Rattus norvegicus: one gene and its partners. The protein of the gene in region 4 interacts with the protein of the main gene of each other region in a biochemical or structural test. Links are inferred from orthologs where the notes say so. Each region holds a gene or a part of one and is shown on either strand. Other genes may lie near its edges. The genes, in order: Thbs1, Apbb1, Plat, Lrp1, Apoe and Lpl.

Evidence for each region.
Region 1: the proteins of Lrp1 (region 4) and Thbs1 form a complex in vitro, tested with the Homo sapiens proteins (3 studies listed by BioGRID). The link is inferred for Rattus norvegicus from reciprocal best matches to the Homo sapiens genes LRP1 and THBS1.
Region 2: the proteins of Lrp1 (region 4) and Apbb1 form a complex in vitro, tested with the Homo sapiens proteins (2 studies listed by BioGRID and IntAct, with this or other methods). The link is inferred for Rattus norvegicus from reciprocal best matches to the Homo sapiens genes LRP1 and APBB1.
Region 3: the proteins of Lrp1 (region 4) and Plat form a complex in vitro, tested with the Homo sapiens proteins (2 studies listed by BioGRID). The link is inferred for Rattus norvegicus from reciprocal best matches to the Homo sapiens genes LRP1 and PLAT.
Region 5: the proteins of Lrp1 (region 4) and Apoe form a complex in vitro, tested with the Homo sapiens proteins (2 studies listed by IntAct, with this or other methods). The link is inferred for Rattus norvegicus from reciprocal best matches to the Homo sapiens genes LRP1 and APOE.
Region 6: the proteins of Lrp1 (region 4) and Lpl form a complex in vitro, tested with the Homo sapiens proteins (3 studies listed by BioGRID). The link is inferred for Rattus norvegicus from reciprocal best matches to the Homo sapiens genes LRP1 and LPL.

Annotation. Positions count from the first base shown.
Region 1 is NC_086021.1:125,512,721-125,517,060, reverse strand, and holds part of Thbs1 (thrombospondin-1 isoform 2 precursor), read right to left. Parts: coding exon 4,317-4,340; intron 4,086-4,316; coding exon 3,883-4,085; intron 3,792-3,882; coding exon 3,669-3,791; intron 2,946-3,668; coding exon 2,852-2,945; intron 1,023-2,851; coding exon 849-1,022; intron 330-848; coding exon 153-329; intron 1-152. UniProt on the Homo sapiens protein: Adhesive glycoprotein that mediates cell-to-cell and cell-to-matrix interactions.
Region 2 is NC_086019.1:169,314,714-169,319,053, forward strand, and holds part of Apbb1 (amyloid beta precursor protein binding family B member 1), read right to left. Parts: intron 3,565-4,340; coding exon 3,389-3,564; intron 3,295-3,388; coding exon 3,238-3,294; intron 3,153-3,237; coding exon 3,067-3,152; intron 2,959-3,066; coding exon 2,895-2,958; intron 2,514-2,894; coding exon 2,364-2,513; intron 1,998-2,363; coding exon 1,870-1,997; intron 1,772-1,869; coding exon 1,766-1,771; intron 1,475-1,765; coding exon 1,360-1,474; intron 1,214-1,359; coding exon 1,129-1,213; intron 876-1,128; coding exon 792-875; intron 1-791. UniProt on the Homo sapiens protein: Transcription coregulator that can have both coactivator and corepressor functions. Adapter protein that forms a transcriptionally active complex with the gamma-secretase-derived amyloid precursor protein (APP) intracellular domain.
Region 3 is NC_086034.1:75,964,349-75,969,304, forward strand, and holds the start of Plat (tissue-type plasminogen activator precursor), read right to left. Parts: upstream 3,309-4,956; 5' UTR 3,243-3,308; intron 3,166-3,242; exon of another isoform or gene 3,150-3,165; coding exon of another isoform or gene 3,064-3,149; intron 1-3,063. UniProt on the Homo sapiens protein: Converts the abundant, but inactive, zymogen plasminogen to plasmin by hydrolyzing a single Arg-Val bond in plasminogen.
Region 4 is NC_086025.1:65,335,995-65,340,334, forward strand, and holds part of Lrp1 (prolow-density lipoprotein receptor-related protein 1 precursor), read right to left. Parts: intron 2,655-4,340; exon of another isoform or gene 1,922-2,654; coding exon 1,799-1,921; exon of another isoform or gene 142-1,798; intron 1-141. UniProt on the Homo sapiens protein: Endocytic receptor involved in endocytosis and in phagocytosis of apoptotic cells. Required for early embryonic development. Involved in cellular lipid homeostasis.
Region 5 is NC_086019.1:88,481,648-88,486,724, forward strand, and holds Apoe (apolipoprotein E precursor), read right to left. Parts: upstream 3,053-5,077; 5' UTR 2,980-3,052; exon of another isoform or gene 2,940-2,979; intron 2,874-2,939; exon of another isoform or gene 2,819-2,873; intron 2,224-2,818; exon of another isoform or gene 2,205-2,223; 5' UTR 2,182-2,204; coding exon 2,139-2,181; intron 1,646-2,138; coding exon 1,477-1,645; intron 1,079-1,476; coding exon 352-1,078; 3' UTR 242-351; downstream 1-241. UniProt on the Homo sapiens protein: APOE is an apolipoprotein, a protein associating with lipid particles, that mainly functions in lipoprotein-mediated lipid transport between organs via the plasma and interstitial fluids.
Region 6 is NC_086034.1:25,617,264-25,622,343, reverse strand, and holds the start of Lpl (lipoprotein lipase precursor), read left to right. Parts: upstream 1-1,742; 5' UTR 1,743-1,931; coding exon 1,932-2,019; intron 2,020-5,080. UniProt on the Homo sapiens protein: Key enzyme in triglyceride metabolism.

The DNA of each region.
Region 1 (4,340 bases), on a different chromosome or scaffold from region 4:
ATAGAAGCTGCTGAGTACGCAGGACTTTGTTTCTGTTTGTTTCTCTAGTGAGTGAGCTCCCATGCCCCATGGTCCACTGAACCGCAGAGCAAGCAGGCCACCAGCTGGGTAGGGCTGCCTCCCATGAACCCACAGGGCAGGCCCACACTTACTTGGGCAGGCGTCCTTCTTGCAGGCTTTGGTCTCCCGAGCTTCACCTTCACAGGGCTTCCCGTTCATCTGGGGGCTGGGGGAGTTGCAGAGTCGGATCCTCGTGATCACACCGTCACCACAGGTCACAGAACAGGACGACCACGGGGACCAGTGACTCCAACCACCATCCTGTTTAACTGAAAGGCAAAGCTGACGGTCACAAATGGTGCTGCCTTGGAGGGGGACCACGAAGAAAATCTCAACACGCAATCGTTCTCACAGCTGACCAACAGCAACTTAAACTAGTGTATAGTATACAGTGTATAGTAGCAACTGGCTATTGCCACATGTCAACGGAGAAACTATCATAGGAAAAATGGTGTGTGTGTGTGTGTGTGTGTGTGTGTGTGTGTGTGTGTGTGTGTGTGTGTAAGAGAGAGTTGCTGGTCAGGAGCCCAGCTCTATTCTAATTGTTTCATATGAATTATCTTGAGGAAATGCCTAAAATAACTTTTATCAAGAATGGTTATTATTCTCATGTTATCGATGAGGAGGAGCATCTGGGAAGGAAGGTTGTGCTCAAGAGTGCAGAGGTCAGGGGTGTGGTTGAGACTGAGAGCTCAGAACCTGGGCCCTCAGGCTCTCTGCTGTAGAGCTGCTCTTGGTGACAAAGCATTGGGGTGACATTGCCACCCCTTGGCGGCCATGATGCTTACATCTTTTGTCGCACTCCTGAATGTGGCAGGTCCTCGTCTGTACTGAAGAGCCCTCACATCTGTTGTTGAGGCTGTCACAGGAGCGACCACGTTGCTGAATCCCATTGCCACAGGTGGCAGAGCAAGAGGTCCACTCAGACCAGGGAGACCAGCCATCGTCAGCAGAGTCACTGGCTGTGGGGAGAAAGGAGGCCATTCAGCATCTCCTGACTAAGATCCACTTCTCTTCAGGCAGTTTATGTATGTGTTTAGGGACCTTTATTGGCAAAGGTTGCAAATCAATAGGACTTTTTTTTTTCGGAGCTGGGGACCGAACCCAGGGCCTTGCACTTGCTAGGCAAGTGCTCTACCACTGAGCTAAATCCCCAACCTAATAGGTCTCTTTTTAAAAAATCCTTCTTCCTGGGTTCGGTCCCCAGCTCCGAAAAAAAGAACCAAAAAAAAAAAAATCCTTCTTTTTCCATACTCCCAGTTTAATGGAAGGACCATTAACTAATAGTGACTGTGTATATTTTAGTACACAGCAGATGCTTGGCTACACAAGTGCCTTGGGAAGTGAAAACAATAGTGGAGCCAATTCACACATCCCTTATTTTGCAGGAGCAAGCATGCAGTCATATCATTAACTCCAGACATGCCAGTCTTGGGCCAGTGGGCCATGAGTTCATCCCAGGTCATCGTAAAGGTCTGGGGGTGATGGCAGGCTCTGCCTGGTCCTTACAGCTGAACCCGCTTACAGTGTGGACTCTCCTGTTCACCCATCATGGAGTCTCCCATGTGCGTCTTAAGCAGATTCTCCTTTGCTGACTGAGGATGTCTTAGATGCTTCCAGGCCAGTGTCCAAGAATGCCAGTGTGTCAGACAGCTGGCCTGTATCATTTCTGACTATCAGAGAAGCCCTGGTCTATGTTGGGAGGCAGTGTGGCTGAGGCCGTGAGGTGGATCAGTTTGTTTTCCTCATGCTGACCTCTGGTGTTTTTGTACTTTCTCAAGAGGAGAGGGTATTTGTTTGCTATCTGCTCAGACACCATGATGACAACCACTCCTGTCTATCAGACGACAGGGAACTTGTTTTTTCCATCAATAAACATCTTCCTAACAACCCCAGCTCAGAGTTGTGCTATTCTCCGTGGGCTTTGCTCCCTGTAACTCACCCTCAGATAGAGGCTGGACAGAAGTGGACACACAGAAAAACATTACTGTGCCAAAATTGCTACCATGGGATTGATAACTCTGAGCTGTGTGTGGCTCATATGTGCGTCTCTCTATTTCTCTGTCTCTGTCCTCTCTCTCTCTCTCTCTCTCTCTCTCTCTCTCTCTCTCTCTCCCTCCCTCCCTCCCTCCCTCCCTCCCTCCCTCTCTCTCTCTCTCTCTCTCTCTCTCTGAAGGGCAATTCAACATCCTTGCTTTCTTCGTGAGGCATGATGAGTCACTTTTATGACTTGTGCCTTCTGTATTAAAACATCTTAGCAAAGTGCTTATGCTGGCAACAAGCCCTGGAGGCAGAGCGTTACACAGCAGTGTAGTGGCTGATTTCCTTTACTACCCTGGAAATTCAATAGATACAAATCTCTTAGGGCTCCTATCACTGCACACAAAACAGGTGACTTTTCAAACAGCCCAATGCTTACACCAGTTTCTGTCCCTTCTCCAGTAGATCATGTTTTTTCTAACAAAAAGATCAATTCCTGAAAGCAACCAGCTTAAGTCCAGTGCTGTATTCATCTCCCCTCCTTATAGCATAAAACCAGAGTCCATGAGCTCTGCCAAGATCATCCACTGCCTATGCTACAATCCAGATGGGTGGTTAAGATCTGGTCCTCATGGAGGTTTGCACTCTGTACAATAGACAAGCTGATAGTTACCCAAGTCTGTCTGCAATTATCTGACAGGATATGCCTGAACGACCTGCGAGGGGCTGGGCTCCAGTGTTGTGCCCAGCTGTCAGGATGCCCCCACTGAGCTAGCCACTGAGGTATGGTTCTACCATTTTAGGAACTTACGCCAGCACCGTGGGCAGCATTCACCATCAGGAACTGTGGCATTGGAGCAGGGCATGATGGGACAGGACACCTTTTTGCAGATGGTAACTGAGTTCTGCAAGGCAGGAGGAGAGGGAAACATGTTACCAAGCATATTGCTAAGAGGAGCTTTCTGTGGCATTTCCATTATAAGCTGAGGTATAGGCAGGATGGTTTTTATAGGACAGATGTCTGCTGGATCTATAGTCCCTAGAGTCACATAGTTCCAGGGCTAATTCTCCATTCTCTGGGAAAGTTCTTTTTAACTGCTACTCAGTCAGGGGTGGAAGTTACAGATATAAGGAAAAGCAACAGGCTGCAGGCCATATCAGTGAGTATCTCAAATGTAGATAAGGTCTTATCACATATTGGAGGAAAATAGGAACTTAATGGAAGTTGTGTCTTAAATTCAGTAATCAGGGATTTGCATTTAAACTTTTCCTGGTGATGCAGAGATCCGAACAGTGTTAGAAGGATCTGCCTGCCAGAGCCGAATACAAATTAGGGCTGTTCAAAAAAGAATGCTGTAAGCAGGTTTTGTGTATCTGACATCCAATACTTGGTCTTTGAACTAAAGCAGGTAAATAATTCCAGTGGTTAGATAGATTTGCTCTCTTAGCTGCTTAGCCTGGGGTATAATTACAAGTTGATAAACCTTCTGAGATTTAAAGAGGAATGTGTAGACGTCATTACATATGAAAGAAAAAAATCATTTTTGGTAGCAGGCCAGAGCACATTTAAAAATATCTACTGAGACATATGGTGTCAAGTCTTATTGTAGTCTGTGAGTGTCCCTTACCTGGCAGTGACACTCTGTGCAACTATCTACAGTCCACTCCTCGTTGTTCCTGTATTGGACTCCATTGTGGAAGCAGAGGGGAGGCCGCCTCAGCTCGCTAGCCAGCTCTCTGTTCTCTTCCGTCTGAAAGGGAAAACGCTCATGAGCGTCCAGACTCCCATGGTCACCTGTGGTGACCTTCAGGAGCCGGCAAATGGGAGCAGAGGCCACTGACCACTTTTCGAATGCTGTCCTGTAGCGTGGTCACGATGGTACGCAGGCCCCTCAGTTCCAGGACCATGCTGGATAGTTCGTCACAGGAGAGGCCACAGATGGCTTGGAGGTCCTTTGTTTTGTGGCCGATGTAGTTGGTGCGGATGGCAGGGCTGGAACCGTTCACCACGTTGTTGTCAAGGGTGAGAAGGACGTTGGTAGCTGCTAAGAAATGAGGTATAAAATATTCAACAGTCATTCAAGGCTTCCACAGCTTATCTCACCCGCCCACCCTTCAGGTTATGGGTTGTAAAAGACATTTCATTTGTGATGACAGAGTGGGCGCCAACTCTGTTCCCCTGAGATGTGCATCCACCCTACTGCTTACATTTCTCAGGGTGCTTTTGGTGGAATTCCCCAGAATTCTCCAAATCTTAAAAACACAGGAGTACTCACAACTGGAGCAGCCTTTGTTCCTGA
Region 2 (4,340 bases), on a different chromosome or scaffold from region 4:
CTAGACTAAATGAAGGTCTTCTGCTGTATCTTGCTGCTTCCTTTCCACAGAGACCTTAACTTATTATGACATTTATTTGACTGGGTCCTGATTATTCTACTGTAAGTTCCCATAAACTCCATGAAAACCAGGCTGTGGCCATTGTTTCCCAATACAGGGCCTGACACAACAGGTTTCAAAGGTAATTGTTAAAGAAAGAAAGAAAGAAAGAAAGAAAGAAAGAAAGAAAGAAAGAAAGAAAGAAAGAAAGAAAGGAAGGAAGGAAGGAAGAAAGGAAGGAAGAAAGAAAGAGAGAGAGAGAGAGAAAAAAAGAAAGAAAGAAAGGAAGGAAGGAAGGCGGGTGCTGTGAAATTAAATAGTATATTTTAAAAAACTCTATATTTTTATAAAATTAAAGCTATGTTAATTATGCTTACGGCTTCCTTCTCTGGATATGTATGGCTCCTGTACTGAACCCAGCGCCAGGCTAATGCCTGGTATTTCCAGCCATCCAAACACCTGCCTCCTAAACCCAGCAAAGCTCTTCCATGGGATCAGGGCTAGGGGAAGAAAGTCACCCTCCGTGTCTAGCTCAGCACTAGTCCTGTGCTAGATGTTCACTGAAACATGCTCACTGGAGTAACAGGCAGGACACAAGACAAGGCTGGCACAAAGGTAGGTGGGATGAACTCTGAAAGGCAAGGAGATGCCACGTAACGAGAAAATCCAGGAGAATGAACCATAGAAAACACAGGGCGGGGCACAGAGTACCAGGACCAAGGGGGTGGCCCCTGAGGGAAGAGGACACATACCAACGGGTTTAGCCACAGGCACGTTCCCTAGGTAATAGACTTGAAACTTCTGCACCAGTTCATTCTTTGGTGCTGGGAATTCCACTGTGAGAAGAAAAAGAAAAAGAGGGTCACTGTTCTAGGTCCTGACACTAAAGCATGAACTATGCATTTTCCTAGTCCAACCCTCACGCCCACTTCTCCCCTGCCTCCCTCTACAAGCTTATCCACTTATGTACTGTCAAGCACCCATCTCCATGTGCTCATGCCTGCCCAGGATCCTGTGCCTCTTCTTGGGTCACCTCACCTTAACTAACAAAGCTGAGCTGTGCCTTATGAGGCTGCGTGTGGTACTCACCTTGGAAAGGGACATCCACAAGTTTAGAGTGGTCCAGGGAGAGTCCATTTACCAAGCAGCGAGCATTGCGCCGTTCAGACATGATCTGAGGAATGAATGGGGGGTGTGTGTGCTCTGTTAGAGCTACATTGGCCCCGAAGCCCCCACCTCACTACCCACCAACCGGCAACCCTACCCACACCCTTCTAGAGCAAAGATGACAGCTAGTTCAGGGAGTGGAGGGGGCCGTGCCTTGGAGCAGATCTCATGCAGGCTGGTGGCGATGTTCTTGGCAGGTGCCTCACAGCGAAACACGTGGCACTTGAGCATCTGGGTCAGCTTATCTCGAGCTACGTAGGCAAAGTCCCTGTTGGGGGAGGGTCACCTCAGTGTCTCCTAGAACCACCAAATGCCATGCCTGGCCACCATTCCACCCTCAACCTCCCTGTCCATGACAGTCTACAGGGTTTGCCCTGGTGTTCCGTAGGTCTGCCTTCAGGAGCTGGGGAGGCCAGAGGCAAGCATGCTGAGGTGGGGGATAAGGCCCAGGACAGCAGGTGAGGAAGGGGCAGGGCACACAGTAAGGGAGCCTAGGTGCTTCGAAGCATCCGGTCCAGGAGTAGGAAGGGGCACAGTCAAAGCAGATGGACGTTAATACCTCTCTCTGGGTCCGGCAGCACAAGAGAGCCAAAGAGCAGATTAGAAAAAGGACTAACTGCTGGATGGATGAGCCTCCCCCACCCCGGCGATTCCTGTGCCCACCTTCCACTGTCCCGCCCAACGCCCCACACGCGAATGCTGACGATGGGCTGGGCATGCAGCAGTGTCTGGTTCTGTGGCTCCACCAACTTTAGCGTCTCATCCTCCAGCTGGAGCAGCAGATCCTTTCCCTGCAAACCCAGGAGGTGGGACTCAGTGGTACCCTAGTGGGGGAGGGGGGCAGAGTTCTGCCTTCTCCAGCAAAGGGGACATTGGCCACCATTGGGGAGGAGCAGGGCTTACTTAGCTGTCAGACTGCCCACCTGTGGGCCTTAGTCTAACAAAGGTTGTCCCAGGACTCTTATCCCCATCACTGTTAAGCAACCACTCCTCAGGGTGCAAGGCTGGAGTTACACATCCATCCCTCAGAGTTGCTCCTTAAACCCATATATACCCCCATGTCCATCAGCCCTCTCGGAGACTAGTCAAATCCTTCGTATCTCACAATTCGCTGCACACCCCCACGGTACCACCACTTCACCAGCTCAGGCCCTCACCTCTCCCCAGCCTCCAGACATCGGATCATGTAGATTGTTTTTGTGGTAGGAGAGCTGGCGGATACAATTGTTGACTGCCACACTGCTGCGTCCTGGGGCCAGCTCCTCCTCAGTCATCTCTACCCAGCCTAGGGAGCGCACAGCGAAACACTGCCAGACACAGAAAAGGGTCGGGGTAGAGATCTGAGATGGAATTGGAGGTGCCTTGGGCACAGGACAGAGGAGCTCCTGACCTGGCACATAAAACATGTGAGACATTCTGAACTTAGATGGAAGGTCCCCAAACAAGACATGGTCAGAAGAGATGGCCTGCTGATCTAAGCCTTAAGAGTCCCTAAGAGGCCCTTGGGCCAACTGAGTTAAACACAGAAGCTGTCAGAAGACTGTTCAGCATACACACGGCCTTGCCTGAAACTGGTAAGAACTTGCTTGGGAGATTTGCTAAGACCACAGATGTCCTCAAAGCACAGCATGAGGTCTGTCCTCCACATAGAGGCCTGCTTACTAAATGGGTGTTGGTCTTGAACAAACCTTGATCCCTGGATTGGCGTTCCGTTGGGGCAGATTCTCCTCCTCCTGGGGCACTGGCTCTGGGCTGGAGGCAGATGGGAACACTTGACACAGCACCCTTAGTTTTAAGAATCCTCCCAATACCCCTTCCACATAGATCCAGTCTCACCCTAGTCTGCTGCATCTGACTCACCTGAGGCTCTGAGCTGAGAAGGGCAATGTCCCCTCCTCAGGGTCCTTCAGTCCCAACTCCATTGGGGCCTCTTCACTAGGTTCATCCTTTGAAAACAAATTAAAGAATCAAGCCCAAAATGAAGTCCCCCTCTCCAGTAGCCCCCAGAGTGAAGCTGGTTTCTTTATTTACCTTCCAAAACTCTCCTTCCTCAAAGCCTTCTTGGTGAGCAAAGCCAGTCCAGGTGAGCTGGAGGAAGAATGGGTGTAGGGTGGTAGTTTCACCCTGTTCTAGAAGCACAGACCCTTCCACCCCTGGTGTGCAACAAGCCATTGAGCCTTACCTGGGACTCTTCTTGGGGACTGTTCCCCTGCGATGGGGAGGCCCGGCCTGGGGGTTCCCACTGGGTGGTCCCTGTTGGGATGTGCCAGTAGTAGGTCCCTGAGGTGTCTTGGACCCTCATCCATCCAGCCGGTAGATCGGAATCCGTCTCGAAAGCGTTGGGGTTCCAGAAGGAATCTGCCAGGTAGGAGGCTCAGTGAGGGTCAGCCTACCCAATAATCATCCAGTAGAGGGCCAGTCCCCTTCCCAAGACCCCAAGGCTGAGAAGAAGAAGCTGGGAAAGGGACATTATAATTCCTGCTTGCTTCTAGAGCCGGACACTTTAGTCACCACATTGAGAGCCACCAGTGGGGAGCATGGCTCAGGTCTCCTCTGCTGCTAGCCCTGCTGCTGCCTAATGTGGCCACATGGAGAGAAAGAAGAAAGCGGAGAGGAAGGAGGAGGAAAGAAGGAGGCCGAATGACCCAGATCACCTCCTCACACATCATGCATAGACATTTTGTCTAGTTATAAAAGGTGCACACACTGCCGGCTTCTGCACACATCCACATGCACACAGACCCACAATATATGTAAGCCCCACCACACACCTGCACAGCCATAAACTGTGCACAGCGCACAGAAAATTCTGGAAGGCACCACATACAGGTATGCTTGTGAGTTCAGGGGCAAACAGACATAACAACACCAGTTATACACTTGTGTAGAGCTATGTGTTTATATATAGCTATAGATGCCAGCCCTGCTAACAGGTGTGTACATACAGCATTACCAAAACCTCCCAACATACATGTGAGTACCACATGCACATACAGGTGGGGAAACACTCAGATACAATGTATTATCAACCTCTGCTATGTCTGTGCAGATAGCGCGCGTGCGCGCGCGCGCGCACACACACACATACACACACACACACACACACACACACACACACACACACACACTCACTC
Region 3 (4,956 bases), on a different chromosome or scaffold from region 4:
GAGCCTTAGTTTCCTGGGCTTCCCCATGAATTAATCCCTTCCATCTTGTGTATTTTTTTGAAAGCTAAAGAAGCAATCCTTACAAACCCTGGAAGCCTGACGGGTGGCAGGTGTGCACTAGGCTTCACAAGAATGCCCTCGTCAACAGGAATCAAGTTTGTTTGAAGCTACTGATAAAGAAGAGGTACCACGCTCTCTGGGGTGGGGGTGGGGTCCTCATGGTCTTCAAGGGTTATTGGCAAATCCTTTTTCCTAGCTCACAGGACATGATAGAAAATGCCATGCTCTTCACCAGGGTCAGAGAGCCCCATGGACAGGAGCACTTATTTCCTGAGAGCAGAGTGAGATCTTGTATCCCATTTTTAATCTGTTTCTCAGGGGCTGGAGAGATGGCTCAGAGGTTAAGAGCACTGTCTGCTCTTCCAGAGGTCCTGAGTTCAATTCCCAGCAACCACCTGGTGGCTCACATAACCATCTGTAATCGGGTCTGGTGCCCTCTTCTGGCCTGCAGACATACATGCAGGCAGAAAGCTGTATGATGTATACATAGTAAATAAATAAATGTTAAAAAAAAATCTTTTTAAAAAAAGTTTTAATCTGTTTCTCTTCTTTGCCTTTTCCAGGCCAATTTATGCCCCACAACAGGGCCTCTGAAACGCTCTGGGAATTTGGAATTAGCAGTTGACACATTTAGCCACTTCCATGGTCCTTAAGGTTGACGCTAACAAGATATTTGCTTCCACAGAATAGGCTTTCAGTAGAAAAGTCTACAATGTGTGGGACCAGCCTAAGTCTGCAGTGATCATTTCAGAGGCTCAGCATGGACCCAGGTCTTTAGGGCAATCCCCAAAGAAAACTCTAGAGACCTCTCTCTGCTGTGCGTCTGGAGCACCCAACAGCCAGTCTATATAGCTCAGCTAGACCTGTCAGTTACAGGATGTTGGCCAACGGCTTGGCAAGCGCCTCTGAAGACACCCAGTTCTTTATGTATTGCATGAAGAACAGCTGGTTTGTGTTTCCTGGACAGCTGACACAGCTCTCCTGGGCTGTGCCTTCAAACACGCCAGAGAAATTTGTGATACATGACCAGCAATCTGCTTCATTTGCTTTTTCCAGTAACCAGGAATCGAGTTTATCTCACCTTGTACTCCTAGCTATAACAGTTTGTCTCCCAGGCATCGTGAAAGCAGTTGGGCCAATATTCAAGATGATGGTGCTCGACCAAGGTTTTGTGAATCTCTACCTGTAATTTTCTCCTTCCCTCCCTCCCTCCCTCCCTTCTTCCCTCCTTTCTAAAACAAGATCTCACTTACCCCAGGCTAGCCTTGAGTTTCTGATCTCCTTGCCCGCATCTCCTGAGCACTGGGGATCACAGGTGTTCACTGTCAACCCTAAGTTTATGTGGTGCTGGGAATCAGGTGGAAAGGCTCTCTGCGAGCTCCTTTAACACTGCCAACTAAGCTGCAACCCCAATTCCAGCTCTGACCTATTTATTACACGGCAGGCTCAAAGCTGCCCTTTGCTCCCTCGTTTAGTTGTTTCCTACATTATTTTCTGCCACTCAAGAGAAAAGAAAAGAAACAAAAAAAACTATTCTGAGACAATAGACACTCAGTTGCCGTGCACAGATTGCACTACTTCAGCTCAGACCGCAAAAGGCTCCCACTCACAGAGACCGGCTGTCTCAGGGACCGGCGAACCTTACATTGTGAATGGCGTTAAGCCCAGTACTGTTGTTGATAAGCCGTGTTGATGTAGCCTCCACCATTAAGACTGGAAACAAGCACATACACATGCGTTTCACCTTCAAACCCTCACACCAGTCTTTCCAGTCCAAGAACCCTGCAGGCAACTCTGAGTCACTTTCTGGCCTTGGCTGAGCACCCTGCTCAGTGAGCGTCTTAATGTGTGCAGCTCGCTCTTCCTTCAGTCCCCAGCGCCTTAGCGGAAGCATGGATGCTCCTCGGTTCCTCCTGGCTGCATCGTGCATCCTGGATCTGGGAGGAGGCAGACCAGCTGCTGTATATCTCACAGGAGACTTCCCAAATAATCTGGGCTGTCCTGGAAAGTCTGCCCTAATCCAGCTCGTCTGGGGGTGTGCAGCTAGTACTCCCCTTCCAAGATACAGGCTGGCTCTCCTGAAAACACTTTAGGTGGAAAGAACAGGGTGGGCAGAGGGACGATTTACACTTTAGTGTTTCCAGTATCTGGTCTGGGACTGACTGTGATTTAACTCTCACTGGCTGTGCGCACTCAGCCTGCCACTGCCCTGCACAGGGTCTGGGTCTCCTGGAAAATTTCTAAGTGTGTTTTTCTGTAAGTTTACTCCAGTTGTATTTGTGACGTGCTCACAGGATTGAAAATACCCACCACCACCACACACTCACTTTTTGTGTATGCCCCTGCCCCATTATCAGCTGCGGAAGAACAATGCATCGTTCCAAACCGGCCACCAAGTAAAGCTTCCCCACTGCATCTCTTTGCACTGAAGCTTGCCCTTAGTTATCTGCGAGCGCTGCATGCTTTCCTTCCACCCCCACCCCCACCACTCACCCAGCCTCCATCTATCCTCCCGCTGTCTCCGAGGTTAAGAAAATAAAGGTCCTGACAGACTCCAGAGAGCCCTTAGACTTTTCCTGCTGCAGCATGAGAAAGCAAACGCAGCCGTGTGTGATGAGCGAGGGGTGAAATTGACTGGTAAATCGTAGAGAGGATGCGATGAACTCGCGAGACACCAGAGGTTTTGCATCCTAACCCCCAGCAGTAACGAGAGGTTCCTAAAAGTTTCAGCTTTTCTCTGCCAGCCTAGCGAAACATGCTGCCCACGCAAACGCCCCTCCTTGATACCCAGCCTGTTTTTTAGTGTGTCCCTTGAGGTCAGAAGGTAGCCATACGATGTCTCCGCTCTGGAAGGCAGCTGGATCTAGTTACTGCCCGTTAGTAGGCTCCCATTGTCCGTTCGAAGAACCGGAGTCGTTCTTTTTACTTTCTCCCCTTACTGTGCAAGCAGAACTTCTGCAAGAGACACCTCTCTCCCACTCTCTCCCTCTCACCGCAGCTTACCCGGAGTCATTGCAAAGAACTGTCCCTTCTGTGTGGATGATGCTGGCTGGTCCGCTTTCTGCTGAACTACAAGTCTGCGCTTCCATTAAGCATTCCCTCACTGCCTCAGTTTGGCCCCGAAGACTTTAAAGGGACAGAAGAAGAGCCGGCTGTTCGATAAAGGCAAAAACCCAACTTACCGTGCCTTGCTTGCTTCTTTCCCACTCTCGCAGGGGCTTCTCCTGATTAGCTCCCCCGCAGGCTCTGTCTCCCTGGACAGCTCAAGCCAATTTTAAGGGTGAAGGAGGGGTGGGGCCAGAGGTTCTTGTGGGCGGGGTTTCTCCTATGATGGTGGGTGCCGGGTGGACCGGGCCAGGGGAGGAAGTGCGCGCGGAGGAGCACAGCCACTCTTGGCTTGACGCCAGCTTGATTATTCACCGTACTGACGTCATCGAATCACAGGAATTTTCAGAGTTGGAGGGGACTTAAGAATCATCCAGTTTTAAAATCCTGGTCTCAAAGGCCTAAAAGGAACTGTAAGGATGTGCGGCTCTAAGCTCCAGTCTTGACCATGAGGTTATAGTTCTAAACAGCCCCGCCCAACTAGGCTAGGGAGGGGAGAGGTCTTCTGGAATTTTAAGCGACTACCCCTCAGGACACGTGGGCCTTAGGCCAAGAGGCAGAAGATGAGCTGGTTGGGAGTGACTGGAGACAGTAAGCACATGACCACCAGGCTATGGTTCTCTTCCTACCTCTGACCTGCCCTCCTGGGCTGAGGAGCTACTCTTCTCAGTGGGAGAGCTCTCAGGGAATTGAGAAAAAGCACAACACCGCGCAAGTCTTTCAGCCCCCTGAAATTCCATCACAAGCCATCCTTTCTCTAAGCTTCCTCACGTCAAGGGTGGACAAGGAAAGCTCCTGAAAACTGCCCTTCTAGTGGCCCACATCCTGTCACAACCTACGGAAGCCTCCACAGCCCCCGGGACACCAGGTCGCTCCAAATCCCAGTTTAGTCTTCCTCTGCAGATGTCTGCACATCAAAGGGGCTGAACTAGTGCTCTGTCTCAGCAATTACAGGCACCCTGAGCGTTGCTAAATGCACACAAAACCTGTCATCCTCAGAAACCCCAGCTTTTTCATTTTTTTGCCACCTGTGAGTCTGTTTCCCCCGTCAGACTCTGGCGGAGCCTGGAAAGCCAGAAATACACATGGGAAGCAGATACCATAACAATGGGAACTTTGATTTTAGTCAAAGGATTGCCATGGGGGCGAGCAAATGAAAATAAATCTCGGTGACATCACATCCTGGGAAACTTGACTAGAAGCCCTTTGCTCCCAAGAGTGATAAATTCCAAGTCTGATAACTTGGGGACAGAAGGGTAAGAAAAAGGAGTGTGGGGGCTGGGGATTTAGCTCAGTGGTAGAGCGCTTACCTAGGAAGCACAAGGCCCTGGGTTCGGTCCCCAGCTCCGGAAAAAAAAAAACCAAAAAAAAAAAAAAAAAAAAAAAAAAGGAGTGTGGAAGAAAGAGTCCCTAAGGCTAGCTTCTGCAATGGGGGAGTCCTCTCTGTAGAGTGTGTCACCTGTGGCAGTAGAGAGGGGGTTTAGTGAACCCTTTGTTGGGGCAGTGGACAGCTGATGAGGCACAGGACAAAGACCAGGATGAGTTCAAAAACCTAATAAGAAGTGATGTGATTCCAAGGATAGCCCAAGGAAAGAGAGGTGGGCAAGAAGCTGGCAAAGACGTCCTTAACCAGGAGACAGGTGTGCTGTGTACAGACCAAGAGTCCCTCCTTTTAAAGGGAAACTGAGCTTTTAAGGACAAACACGGTAAACATTCAGATGGTATCATTGGGCATACTGGGGTGCAGTGCCCCCTCATGCATGCCACAGCTGGTCCTGTCTTGAAATTAGC
Region 4 (4,340 bases):
CCCCCAGCCTCAACATTCTCTAATCAGGAGACAGGCAGAAGGCAGAAGTGAAAGGTTTTGCTGGGTTTAAGGAAACACAGTCCCTGGCAGAAAGGAGCTCCAATGATAAACAATAACACACTAACTTTGTGTGGGTTTCAGAGCGCAGAGCTGTGTCTACAAGAGAGCCAGTTCATGCACCAGCACCAGCCTTCTGCAGCTCTCCAACGCTGTGAGTGCACCAAATTAAAACCACTTATAAATATATACTAGTTTTTTGATCCATCAGAAGAGGGCAAAAGATCTCTAATAGTTTCATCCACAGAATATTCATATAGTGAAAACAATATTTTGAGCGCCTTCGGTGAAAGCATTCAAACTAACCTTAGCAGTTTGCTTTTTTTTTTTCCCCCCAGCGTGGCTACTTGGAAATTTCAGAACTGTGTATGTGACTTATACCTTATTTCAATACAGTATTATTCTAGACTTGCAACCCAGAGCAAAGATCTAACGAAAGGATCTGGAGATGTCAAAAGCTGTGGCCTACTAACCACATCCCTCTTAATTGTCACGGTTGCTGGCTGGAGGGATGAGAGGTTAAGACAATGATCCCAACAGGTAAGGGTATATGAGAGGGTGTGTATGGGGGCAGAGCCTGACAGGCACTGCTCGTGCAGGGAGTGGCTCGTGGGCAAGAAGTTCCCATAACATCTTGTGACCCTGCCTGGATTTATATGTACCCCTGCCAGTCTGTGTGTTCAGGCATCTGTCAGAGTGTTTCTGCAGCCACTCCTGGGAGTGTATAGCATCTGCATGGGTTATACAAACCTGTCGGCGTCTTTGTCTGGTGGGTGGGCCAGGTGGGGCTATGTGTTATCTGCTATGCTCCAGGAGAACGCATGTGTGTGAACACACATGTGGGGAACTATCTGAGATGGGATTTGTATCAAACTGAAAGAAGGATGAACAAGAGTGTGACCCAGCCCTTCTCTGTGGCTTTCTGTCCTTCCGCCACACAGGCAAGGGTCAAACACGTGGAGAGGAAGTAGTGTCTACTCCTCCAGGCAGGATGCAGGGGTGAGGAAGAAAACAGGTGGCTTCATTTCCACCCTTCACCTTCAACCTTTGATGACCATGGTTGGAAGTATGGGGAAAGGGTACAGATAGGACCAGAGCCAGATGAAGTCCAGAGCATGCTAAGACCTTGGCCAGGATTGGCCATGTATGGAAGATACTGGGGGTGGAGACCCCAGTACTCTAGAGTCCTGGCAGCAAGTCCTCCACCCCATAAACCCCTCCCCATCCTGGCCACTGGCAGGGTGAAGGCTGGGTGGGGACCTTTCTCCCAGTTTAAACAGCTGCCTCTGATTACACCACTTATTGGGGGCAGGCGAGGGCAGGGTGTCAGGAAGGGTACAGGGGTGGGGCTTCTGGTACAGGGACTGAGTAAGGCCAATGGCCTTTGGCCTGGGACTAAGGGTAGCAGGGTACCTGGCAAGACCTGAAGGCCACTCATTGAGCACCAGCCAGAGAAGTTTCAAAGTGGGGAAGAAGAAAATGCTCAAAGAAAAGTGTGGCTCAGTTATCTCCTCATGACAAAGGTGCATCCCAGAGGATACTGTCCCCAACAGCCTTGGGGACATGGGAGCCAAAGGAGAAATCCAGGGTGCTGCTGTTACGCATGCCAGGGACTGTGTGGGTACTCTGAAGAAGCAGGGATACTTTTAGCTGTGTCCTAGGTACAAGTACAGAGCAAGCCCCATGCTAGGCTAGAGACGGCTGCTCTCATCTGGAGAGAGCAGCCAGGGAAGATACTCACAGATCTCGGGGGCTTCATCAGAGCCGTCCGGACAATCTCTTTCCCCGTCACACCGCCAGCCCTTCGAGATACAGGTGATTTGGTCTCTGCAGGCAAACTGCTTAGGGCTGCAAGTTTTAGGGGCTGAAGGCAAGGAAAGAAAGGGTAACTGTAAAGGAGGGAACTCTCTCTTGGACCCTGGAGCTTCCTAAGGCTCGTTCTCCTCCAGCATCAATCCTCCATACTGTGGACCTGGAACAATGGAGGAGCCAAAAGGACCTTATCATCCCTTTCCAAGTTTCCTAGGTTGTCTGTTCAGCAGGCCCCTGTAGCTCCTTGCTGTTTGTCACCCCACCAGACACCAGCACCCCTCACTCTGCTAGGGATGATGGTGGGACAGGGCAGAGACCTTCACTGTGCTCTTTCTCTGTCTCTTCTTAATCCCGTCCAGCTGGCCTTTCTTAACCTCTGACCTCAGGATGCTACTGACCTCTTGATCTATATCACCCAGCTCCTACCTCTTACCGCTGGACCCCTTGGCCCACAGTGTGGCTTGGAGATGTTATCTGCAGAGGACACCTGGGCAGAAACTTCAGCTTCCACAAGACACAAGACCACAAGTAGGACTTTTAGGGGAGTTCTCTGGATAAGAAGGACCTAAAGCTCATTACCAGCAGAGGCAGGGTGCTGGTTGGCTTGATCTCTAGAAACTAACTGTGGTACCCCTCACCTGTGGAGTGATTTATATCCATGGGAACCACCTGGCTCTAATCCCTCTCATCCCCCCTCCTACCCTCATGAGGAGCTCCACCAGAGACAGCGGGCAGTACTGTGATCAGCATGAGTGTAGCAGACAGTGATAAACTAGCTTTTTCCATGTGCTGTCTTATTTAGTCTTTCCCACAAGATGAGAAGAGGGAAGGCTAACCCACAGTTTCTGGGCTAGACCTGCTGAGGATCACACACCTGGCAAGTGACAAACCAGGACTCAACCCAGTTCACCCAAATCTAGGTTTCTATTGTTGTTGCTTTGTTTCCTTTTTTCTTTTTCAAGTTTTATTTTATGTGTATGGGTGTTTTGCCTGCATGGCTGTCTGTGTAGCACATTTGCCTGGTGTCTGAGGAGGGCACAGAAGCACTGGGTCCCCTGGAAGTAGATTTAGAAAAGGTGCAAGATGCCTTTGAAATGGTGGGAATTGAACTCAGGTACTCTGGAAAAGCAAGCAGTGAGTCTTAACCACTGAGCCATCTCTTTGGCACCAGGGCTCTAGGTCTTTAAGGAGTACAGCCCTCACCTGGCAGCCATACCCCTAACCCATCTGTTCCAGTCACCATGTCCTGCACGGGACAGGGGTCTTTCATCCACATCAGGGCAGGAGTCTCCTCTCCTGGTTTCTCATCACCTTTTCTCCCACCCGGTAGCGCCCATTTCTGTTTCTCTGACACATACTGAAGGCCAGCTCTGTGCCAGGCACTGAACTAGGAACCAAGATGTGTCCAAAGGTCATGGACCCCTCGGGACCCACAGTTCCTGGGGGAAACTACATAGTACTAACGGAGGGCTGAGACAGGAGAGTAAGAGAACTGTGTCAGGGCTCTGAAGGAGGAAGTTGGATGGCCACACGAAATGTCCTCTCTCCCTCATCCCCAGCTCTGGCGGAGGGGACTGTACCCAGGCCCCTGGCCAGAACCAGAGCTGAGTTCAGGAAACACATCAAGGATGGCCTGGCCAGGCCCCCTTGGAGTCCCCCCTCCCTCCCTTCTCCCCCCTGCCCTGATCCGGGAATAAAGGCCCCTTGAGGAGGTGGATAATGCTGAGTTCATTGCCCCACTGGGCCAGCTGTGAGGTCTTCCCGGGAAACAGCCCGCCAGCCTAGTTAGCATGCTGGAGACCACCACTTCCCCTGGCCAGCCAGGCGGCCTGAGGGGGAGAGAGGGACTGCAGCAGCTCTCAGAGACAGATGGGGTGTTTGGAGCTCAGAATCGGACCCCTGAGACACCCAGGCTGATGACACATCTTCCCCTTCCCACCTGGGGGCTGAGCCCATGCCCCCCCACTCGCCAGGGGCAGAACCCACAGCCAGGGCCTGAGGTCACTGGCTGGACACTCTGACCTCCTCTGTCTTCTGAGCCCCAGCCGTGGGTCCCCTCCTCTGGCTCTCACATGGTTCCCCCACTGTCCCCCACCCCCATTTTTGGCCTGAATTCGACAGAGGAAACAGCAGCTGGCAAACTCCAAAAGCTGAAATGAGAGATTCACAAACCAGATGTGCTCTTGTGGAGGGCAGTGGGGGATGGGCTCCCTCCCTCCCAGAAAGGAAGAGGAGGGCTCAGACCCTGTCCTGCACCATCTCCTCAGACCCAGGGGCACAGGGTGGATGGAGGAGAGGGCAGGTTGCAGGTCTCTCAGGAAAGCCAGGATAGCAGAAGGATTGGAGAGAGATAAGTAAAAGAACTTCCTGTCAGCCATGGTGGAGAAAGCCCTAGGAATTTTGAGTGAGAAGGCTGAAGCCTGTCTTTGATTTCCTTCAGGGGGAGAAGGAAAACACATAACCTACTTTGG
Region 5 (5,077 bases), on a different chromosome or scaffold from region 4:
AGAATCGCCCGGTGAAGGGTTGCGGGCGGGGCTCAGAGGTAGAGCACTTGTCCTTTGGCGTTGCTAGCTCCTAGGTTTTATCTCTATTACTGCAAAACCAAAGCAGAGCAGACCAAACTAGACTTGAAATAAAGCACATGACCTCCTTCTACAGACATGGCCATGGAATGTGTGCTATGTCAGGCAGAAACGATAAACTGAGGCTGAAGCTGTGTGGAATCACTCACAGAGACTCAGAACGTGCTTGGAGAATCTTTATTAAGCAAGGGCCACCAGAGGGCCAGAGTGGTGCTTGGGACAGGGCCACCTGGCTGGTCATGGATGTTGCGGCAGGGCGTAGGTGAGGGATGATCATTGATTCTCCAGGGGCACTGTGGTGGAGGCAATGGAGTTGGTAGCCACAGAGGCCTGTATCTTCTCCATTAGGTTTGCCCACTGGCGCTGCATGTCTTCCACTAGCGGCTCGAACCAGCCCTTGATGCGGGCCTGGAAGATCTCGGCCTGCAGGCGTATCTGCTGGGTCTGCTCCTCCATCTTGGAGCGCACCTCCTCCATCTGCTCACGCACCTCCTCTAGGCGGTCTCGGGCCTGGTTGCCCACTTCCTCCAGCCGCCCTCGGATGCGGTCACTCAAAGCCTGGGCGCGATCGCGCAGGGGCTGGGCGGCGCCAGCGCCTAGGTTGGCTGTGCGCTGACGACCCTGCTCCACCAGTGGCCCCAGGCGCTCACGGATAGCACTCACACCGCGCTCGGCGCCCTCCTGTGCCCCGGCCTTGTACACCGCCAGGCGCTTCTGCAGATCATCCGCATCCCGCATCAGGCGCTTGCGCATCTTGCGCAGGTGTGTGGAGAGGCGCGACCGCAGCTCCTCTGTGCTCTGGCCCAGCATGGTGTTTACCTCGTTGCGGTACTGCCCGAGTCGGTTGCGTAGATCCTCCATGTCAGCTCCCAGACGGGCCTGTGCCGCCTGCACCTCTTTAGCCAGCCTGGCCCGTGTCTCCTCCGCCACTGGGCCCAGCTGTTCCTCCAGCTCCTTTTTGTATGCCTTTACTTCCGTCATAGTGTCCTCCATCAGTACCCTGCAGGCCCAGAGGAAACACAAGAGGGAGATGAATGCAGAGACAAAAAGGTCAGAATTAGGGTGGGAGGAAACCACAGAGCGAGGTGCGGTGGTACTCGCTTGTATTCCCAGAAGTTGAGAAGCTGAGGAAGGAGAATTGCAGAGCCTTCGAAGCCAGCTTAAGTTAGATTGGGATCCTGTCTCAAAAAGCCAAAAGCCATTCGACCAAGAACATAAATGAATGCCTGTTCATCCCAGTATCCAGAAGGCTAAAGAAAGCAGAAGTATTGAGAGTTCAAGGCCAACCTGGCCCACACACTCATGGAGAAAGGAAACAAGTAGGTAGGTGCCCAGATAGGAGGAACCCCTGGATCTGGATACTCAGCAGGTGCGGAGGGTGAAGCGCTGAGCACTCACGTCAGTTCCTGTGTGACTTGGGAGCTCTGCAGCTCTTCCTGGACCTGGTCAGAAAGCGTCTGCACCCAGCGCAGGTAATCCCAGAAGCGGTTCAGGGCCTGCTCCCAGGGTTGGTCGCTTTGCCCTGGGAGCTGATCTGTCACCTCCAGCTCTCCCTCGGCCAGGCATCCTGTGTAGAGTAGTAAGTTTAAGGCTGGGTCAGGACCTACAGTGCTCTTGGGTCTCTTTGAAGCAACAGTGCGTCTGGAAGTCAGTCGTGGAGTCTGTTTAGATACTACAAGCATACACTGTCTAGTATCCTATGTAGAACAGAGCTGAGACTAGGCTGGTATGGGGTTAGAAAATGTATACCTCCCCTTTAAAAGCGACTAAGAAATTACACACTTCAACTTTTTAATTGTGTGTCTGTGTGTGTACCCTTGGAGGTCAGAGGACAACTAGAGAGAATCCGCTCTCTCCTTCCACCATGTTGGGCTCCGAGATAAGTCTTCGAGCTTTATGACAAGCACCTTTACCCTCTGAGCATCAATCCTCTCATATTATGGATAGGGAAAGACAAGGCCTGCATGTAAAACAGCTGCTCAGGGCTATTGAATCTCAGAGGTCTCAGAACTGCCCCAACCCCAACCTGCCAGCAGGGAAAGCCACCCCTTGCCCCATACCTGTCAGCAATGGGACCAACAGCAGGGCCCACAGAGCCTTCATCTTCCCAGTTGTGATTGGCCAGTCTGCGGAAGGAAAAGCTGTCTTTGAACACCAGTGGGTAGGGGTGGAGAAACTCGGGCCACCCAAAGAGCCCCCACCTTAATTCCCTTCTCAGGTCTGTGAGTCATCACAAACATCTCCACAATAGAGCATCTGCCCAAAGGTCTATTTACCTCCCCCTCCTATCTCTATCTCAGCACCCCGGGGTGGACCCGCTGCCAAAAATTCCAGCTCCCAGTCCTAGGGTTCAAATTCCACAACGCAGAGGGACAGCCGGTGGTCCAATTTACATTCCTTTCTACCTTCCCTGCTAAGCCGGGCTCTCGGTTTAGTACTAATGTAAGTTTTTAATCGTCCTCCATCCCTGCGAAGTGGTACCCTCCCGCGACCCCAGAACTTCGGACGCTCAGGCATGAGGATCTTCGCTTTGAAACTGGCCCAGGGTAATTTTGGGGACTGTGATGGAAATCAGTAGGTATTTATATAAACGCAACCTAAGGCTCATCGCGGGTCCTTTCGCTAAAGATTGATACTACCTTCTAGTTGAGCCCGTATGCAGTGCACCGACAGTCCCATACTCCTGGAGATGACCCCTCCATCTCCTCCATCTGTTCTGACCCCGGCAAAGGCTAGTTACCTCACGATCTTAGTTTGTCTCCCCGCCACCCTAAGTCTTCTATCGGGCTTCCTGCTTTTCTAATAATTGTGCCTGTTTCCTGGACTCCAGCGGATTTCAAGGTCCCCTGCCCACGTCTTACCAAGCCCCCTGGGTGAATCGCCAGCCCAAGCTTGTCTTACCAGCTCCTTCCGAAACAACTCCTTAGCCTCCGGGGTCTGAGCAGGGGACCGGATCCCAGACCTGTCCAATTATAGGACTCCCCCTGCCCCGCCCCCTCCTCAGGGCTAGGGCGGGCTGGGCCAACCCCCTGTCACGAGGCGGGTTGCTCTCCCCCCCCCCCTTCACAGCAGGGCAGAGGAAAGAGGTGGAGTTTTGATGCCTTGTGACCCCCCCCCCCCCCCAAAAAGGAGCTGACTCCTCATTGAATAATCCAGGCCTTGGTGCTGGGGCACTGAGTACTGCTTCTCCCCTTTCCCGCGGGGTCTGGTGCATTCGTTGTACGGAAAAGGGCTGGAGGCTTAAATGGAAATAGGTGGGGGGCTCTATCTGTTAAGAGGCTCAGCTTCTGGGATGAAAACTGAGTTTTAGCCCTGGCCCCTCTTTGTTGATTCCTCTGCCACGGGTGAACTCTCCCCATCCCCGGGCTGGGGACATGCTCCTTTCCTTCAGGAGCTGTTCAGTGGTGGCTCCCAATGGATTTGAAGCCATACATTGTCAAGCCCTGGGAACCCAAGTGTTGATGCTACTGTCCTGTTTCTGGCGGTTGCCGGATGTATAATCTTGGGAGGGGGAGCTATCCCCACCCCTACTGAGCACAACTTTCAAGTTGTTTTGCGATCGGATCCTCGGGCTGCCCTTAAAGTCACAAAGGTCCTTTTGCCTCTGCTGTGGCATGCTGGGGTTGCAGGTGTGCCCCTCGGCACATGCATTTGCCTTTTCCAAGCACTTTTCCTTTTCTTCATGAAAGAAGTGTAGGGGCTGGAGAGATGGCTCAGAGGTTAAGAGCACTGACTGCATTTCCACAGGACCCAGATTTAAATCACAGCATTCGCAACTCAACACCCAGATTTGACAGCCCTACAGGGACATACATGCCGGCAAAACACCCAACACACTTAAGAGACAAGCCAGAAGAACAGCTATTTATGGGGACATGTGCCTCTAGTCCTAGTCACTTGCAGAGCTGAGGCAGGAGGATCCCCTGAGCTCAGGTAATAGAACAGAGCCCAGGCTAGCACATGGCAAGGCTGCTGTTACCGGGCTGTCAGGTAGGGCCAAGGGCTCACACACCACTCGGATGCTTGCTGAAGTGCCGCCTGCACAGGGGTTCCCATTCCCAGCTGTTGCTCAGAGGGTGGCAGTAGGAGAAGCCTCCTAACAAGGCTTGGCAGCAGATATGGCAACACATGACTCCGCAGGATGGGAAGAGGTGGAACACCTGGTTCCAAGGGTACAGGGTGCCGGGCCCAGGCCTGTTAGTTTTGGCTTAAAACACTGACAAGGAGTGGGTGTGGTGAGATGATTTTCATGGGTTACTAAGGGCCAGCTTCCATCTCCAGATGGCAGTAAAAAGGGTTTCAGTGTTGCGGTCTAGAGGGTCATTGACCAGTTCATCTTGAGTCTTCTCCTCCAGTGGGGTGCCAGGAGGAGCAGTGGTGGCATGCAGGCCCAATTTGAAGATGTGACCACACACACATCAGAGCTGGGGCTGGAATGCAGCTCCACGGAAAAGCACTTTAGTGACCCAGCACCTGCCTGATACGTGAGGGCTGGAGTTATATCTTCAACAAAATTAAAAGAACCAAAAAAAAAAAAAAAAAATCCCCAAAACCTTCACGTTTCCTGTTTTAGTCTGGGAAGGTCCTAGGGCCCCTTCCTCCCCCCTCAGTTACTTTCTTTATTGTGCTGAACTTCCAGGAACTTGGTTTCTTCCTGAAGTTTCTGAGACCTCTGACCTTCCCACTGGGAGAAAGTCAGCACATGCTACCACCTCAGCCCTTTTTGGGACAGGGAGGCTCCTGAGCCCCATCTCCCTGCCCCCACCCTGTTTGCAGAGACAAAGTCCTCCGCCAGCTCTCCGGGGCCAGGCTGCACAGGGGGAGTGACCTGGAGCCACCCTCCCGGTGAGGTCAGGCCTATGATGTTCCCGCCGCCAGCGTAAGTCCCCAAGAGCAGAGGGTGTGACTACGCCTGGCCAAGCTTTCTCTAAATTGCTTGCCGCTGCTGTGCTCTCCGACCCCTCGGCGCCGCCTGCTGGCAACCATGTCAACAACTGGA
Region 6 (5,080 bases), on a different chromosome or scaffold from region 4:
ATAGATATGTATGTATCTCCCTAGGATTGTTTAACCGGAGAGTCATTTTTAAAATGCATTGTATCAGATGTCCATCTGACCCTTTATTAATCCCATAAAATATTAGAGTTCTCTGAAAGTTACAGGTAGCAGTGCAGGTCGGTTTGGAATCCGACTAAATGACTTTTATGTTTGAAACAAGGCTGTGTGGCTACACTGGATAAAACACTTAAGTATTTCTGCACTCCTGGTTTTATGTCTTTTATGCCACTGTCACGTTTTAAAATCAGACAGAGCTTCCTATATACGTCTCTTGGAGGTCGGCCACATCCTAACTATACGCCCTGGAGAATCTCTGCCATTTCCAAAGTCGTTCAGTGGGGCTTTGCTCTTGCCAGCTTTCAAGGTTGGCCACATGCTTCGGAGCCAGTAATGAATGTGAACGATGCCCTGTTTAAGGATCACAAATGCAAGTTGAGAAGGTGAGACATCGGGCTGGAATTCATCTACAGAACAGCATGTGTGGCTTTTATCTGATAGTTGTGAGAAATTTAAAAGGTGGGCTTATATTAAACTATATAGTTTTTGATCCCCTTAACCTGTGTGTGTGTGTGTGTGTGTGTGTGTGTGTGTGTGTGTGTGAAGAGGAGACCATATTAAAAATACTGAGATCAGTAAAGAGAACTGATTTTTTGAGACGGCTTCTCAGCATTAAGGTGGGGAATTTAATCTTTATGGTTTTCTCTAGCTAATCAACACCTTCTTCATTTAAAAAGATACTTGCAGATGAGCACAGTATACGATGTGATTTTATTTTTCTTGCTTTTCTACAAACATGTGCTAATCCACTTTGCAAAAGCTCAGTCTCAACCCTGGCAGAGCACAATTTAATATTAAAGCATCTACACAGTCATACAATGACAAGCCTAGTGGAATTCGGGATATTTCCATCAAGATCCTCACCCTGCCCCCACACTCCCAGCGCCCCATATCCCCCTCACCCTGGAACATCGCTAATCTATGTACTGTCTTTGTAAGTTTGGATTGGTAATTTGGCATGCCTTCTCCCACTGAAAGTCCAGGATAGTTTACAATATTTGACCATGACTTTCTGCCTCTGAAAATAGATGTTATTCTTGAGTTTCTTACTGAATTAGAGGATCGAGTACAATTTACATAAGGTAAAAATTAGAATTATTAACTAATTTCCTTTCTTCTACCACAGAAGGAGATCCATATTGCCAACGATAAAAGGCAGACCGTGCAGGCACCAGGCGCTGAGCAATATGTGTCCTAAGGTCCCTTTGGCCCGTGGGGACCTGTATGTGTGTGTGTGGCGGGGGTACGTTTGAAAGGATCTTTCAAGTTTAACAAAGATTTATCAAAAGGGAGGGGGTGAAAGTGTTGGACACACGCGCTGTTTAAGAGCAAAACTTCTTCCCCTCAGAAAACTGATCGTAGACTACTTAACATAAATCAGCGTAAACCCCTCCTCCCGGCCTCTACAGGGGTCCCTGGGGAGCAGGTTCCTCTGGATAGGCAAACTGGAGCCTAAACGACAAGCAAGCTTTCCCTCCTGCCCTTTCCCCTTCTTCTCGCTGGCACCGTTGAGCCTCGTTACAGTGTGCTCAAATATTTGGAAGTGAATTTAGAGTCCTCCCCCCAACTTATGATTTTATAGCCAATAGGTGATGAGGCTTATTTGCATATTTCCAGTCACTTAAACAGCTGTGCAGTGGAAACGGTGTCAGACTCGATTCCTCCTCCTCCAAGAAATTCTGCCCCTTGTAGCTGTTCTGCCCTCCCCTTTAAAGGTTGACTTGCCCCGCGGCGCTCCACCGCGCTCTAGTCCTCTGACGCCTCCGGCTCAACCCTTTGCAACGCGGATCCCCGCCCGCCTGACTGCCCGCGCAGCGCAGTTCCAGCAGCAAAGCAGAAGGGCGCGCCCGGAGATGGAGAGCAAAGCCCTGCTCCTGGTGGCCCTGGGAGTTTGGCTCCAGAGTTTGACCGCCTTCCGCGGAGGGGTGGCCGCAGCAGACGGTATGTTTTTCGCGCCAGCTCCCCTCCACCTGCAGACCGGGACCAGACCACTTTTTCTCCATCTGAAGATGGGAGGGAGAAAGTTGGAAAGGACGTGCACTAAGCAGGCGCAATAGCCAAAGAGATTCCCGGGAAGGGTGGCTGGAGTGGAATCCAGGAGGAGGAAGGAGAGACTCTGCCTCCCATCACGCTGTGGCGACTCCGGGTTCCCGCTTCTTCTTCTTCTTTCTTTCTTTCTTTATTTTTTTCATTCTCCCGATTTCCCGCTCCGTCCCCAGCTCTCTCCCGCCGCCGGCCATCACAGGGAACGGCGGGGGCGGGGGTGTGACGCGTGGGATGGGGGTGGGGGCGCAGAGGTGGAGAGAAGCTGTAGTGATCGGTGGTAACCTCCTCATAGGCAGTGGGGCTGCTGAATGCAAGGCATGTGGGCCAAGGTGACCCTAACTTTGCTGGGACTACGGGTCAGACCCCTCTGTAGGCGGGAAGAGTGAACCGAGTGTGCCCCCATCGCGGGTGCGGGTGGGAGGACGCGTTGTGTGCATTCCAACTGCATAGGGCACTGTCGCTCTCGGCTATGGGCTACTGTGAGAGTGGGAATGCGCGGCGGTGCCGGGGAACGCATGGCACGGAGTCCTGGGAAACCGCGTCCTGTAAGCGTTCCTTGCGCTCGCTCGGCTTAGCTTGGTATTCAGGAAAGCCCAGCAAAGAGCCTATCTTCCAGAAAACGAGGCTCAGCCATCAGCAGACTGGAACCTGTGGCTTGGAGGTTGCCAGTTCAGCACTGTGTCCTATCCTTGCTGTCCTAGGAGAGGCTCGCCCTAGCTGAGAGCACATGGGATTTTCTAGAGCAGTTAGCAGTTAGCAGTTAGGAGGTCGCTTTCACCATTATGGTCCCAAAATCGGTCATCTCCACGGCTCTGCCTGCTCTCTGCCTAGAGAAGACGACTAGGGTCGGTAGCAAGTTACTTTATGGCCTTGAAGTCCAGACCTGCCCACAATTGAGAAGCCTTGTTACTTGAACCTTGATTGAGCTAACAGAACACAGACACAAAAAAATGACTGAACTCAGCCATAAAAGGAGGCTGGAGTTTCCTTGTGTTGCTGCTGGTGGACTCGCCACCAGGGTGGTGTCCCCTGGAGGTGCTCTAAGGTGGCACGTCCGCAGCCTAATTCCAGTTTTAGTGGAGTCTATGAGTGCAGCTGAAAGCTAGCTTTTATTTCTGCGTATAGTTGTAAATGTCTTGTTATCAAAGGCGAGAGAATCGGTCATGGCAGAACTGCACTAAAGTAAGAATCTCGGGTGTTTTGAGGACACTGGGGATTCTGTCTCTGCTGTGGCAAGCTATCTTTCTACATAGTTTGCAACTCTGGTTAAGAAAATAGGAGCAAACGCTCAATTCATATTTCAGAAACTACACCACAGTATAACACGACTTTTACCGTAAACTCCCGTGGAAAAGGTCGTCTCCATTTTCAGGTTTTGCTTCCTTCAGAAGCTCTGGACCCAGCTTTTCAGCTGCTTAGTGTCACCCTTCTGGGTTTAGCCGCATGAGCTCTTAGGAAAGTTGGCAAGACTCAAAGTGCCCTGGGGCCCCTCCCTTATAGTTTGGTTTAAAGGGACACCTAAGTAATTACATAATAATCTTGGATTTTAGCCAACACCTGATTTTCCTATCAATAAAATGTATTGGAGGAATATTATTCCTAAGCAGATGTGGAATGATTTCCTCTTATCGACGTTCTGTTCTCTCTACTAGCACTTTCCTTCTTCTACAACAGCAGGCCAAGCCCTTTGTCCCACAAATGAATTCACCTAGGGTGAGACTGTGAAAGGCACAGCTTGGAGTGAACCCAGCTCCCCTCTAGGCTCCCAGTTTCCTTGTTCACTCTTGATGTTTTTCTTTTTTTTCCACGAAGAGTGTATGAGTTTGGGAGACATTGCCCTGGGCTTCTTCCTGGAGCCCCTGCAGCCTTTCCTGGCCCCAGGCAGGAAAGCAGAGAGCTAAGAGAGGGAGCATAGAGGGTCCGGCTGCATGAAGTCCTGTTCAGCCACAGTGCTCACTTGCAGGCTAATATCAGAGTTAAATACCTGGAAAAGAGCTCGACATGGGAGTGATTGATTAATAACGGCATTGAAAGGTGTGGGGGACAAGCGGGGGAAGAATCTCGGTGGAAAGATGTTCCGTGTGTTTGACAGAGTGTATTTTTAACACAGCTTCCCTTTAGCCCACAGCGTTATAGAGCGGGCTGTTATACTCAGCTGACAGCTTCTGTCTGTCAGATGGTCCAGTCCGGTCATTGTCCCCTTTCCTCTGGGCACAGCCTGTTTCCACATTGTCATCACCAAGGCTGCATTGTGATGTGTGTGTGTGTGTGTGTGTGTGTGTTATCTGAGACGGTAGCTGAGTTCCTCTGAGTCTTCAGACACTCGGTGCTCCTTCCCTGATGGCGTTCATCCCGTCTTCAGTGTCACCTGTTACTTCAGTGCTGCTACTTTTCTGACAGCAGAACAGTCCCCTCTATCTAACCCCACCCTCTCTGTGGTGATTTGACTAAGCCTAATTTCATCTCTGTGACTATTTTCCATATCAGGATATTTTTCTTTTCTTTGTTCTACATTACATTTGAGCTGTCTTTTTGGATATGTAGGAATAAAGGTTACACAGTAAAGGAAACTCATTACTGTCTGATTTACCTACATAAACACATCACCCCAGTGTGTGATGAGGGCCCGCCTGGGTGGTAGCAGTTGTAAGGGTATTATTTCTATACAGAATTGAAGCCTTTGAAAGGATACGCCTCTGCTCCTCTCCTTCCTTCTGATCTCCCTCACTTCCTTGGTCCTCTCTTCCTTTTCCTTCTTCCCTCCCTCTTGTTCTCACCCCTTCCTTTTTTCCAACGTGGTCTTAATTTTCCTAGGAAAATAGCAAAAGGCAGCCTAGCTGGATGAAAGCCGAGTCACTGATACATTTCTTGGTTTCCTTAGCAACAGTCACCTCGGATTAATCAAGCTCACCTGACACTGCAGTAGTTAACCGGGAGTGCACCTTGATGATGAAAT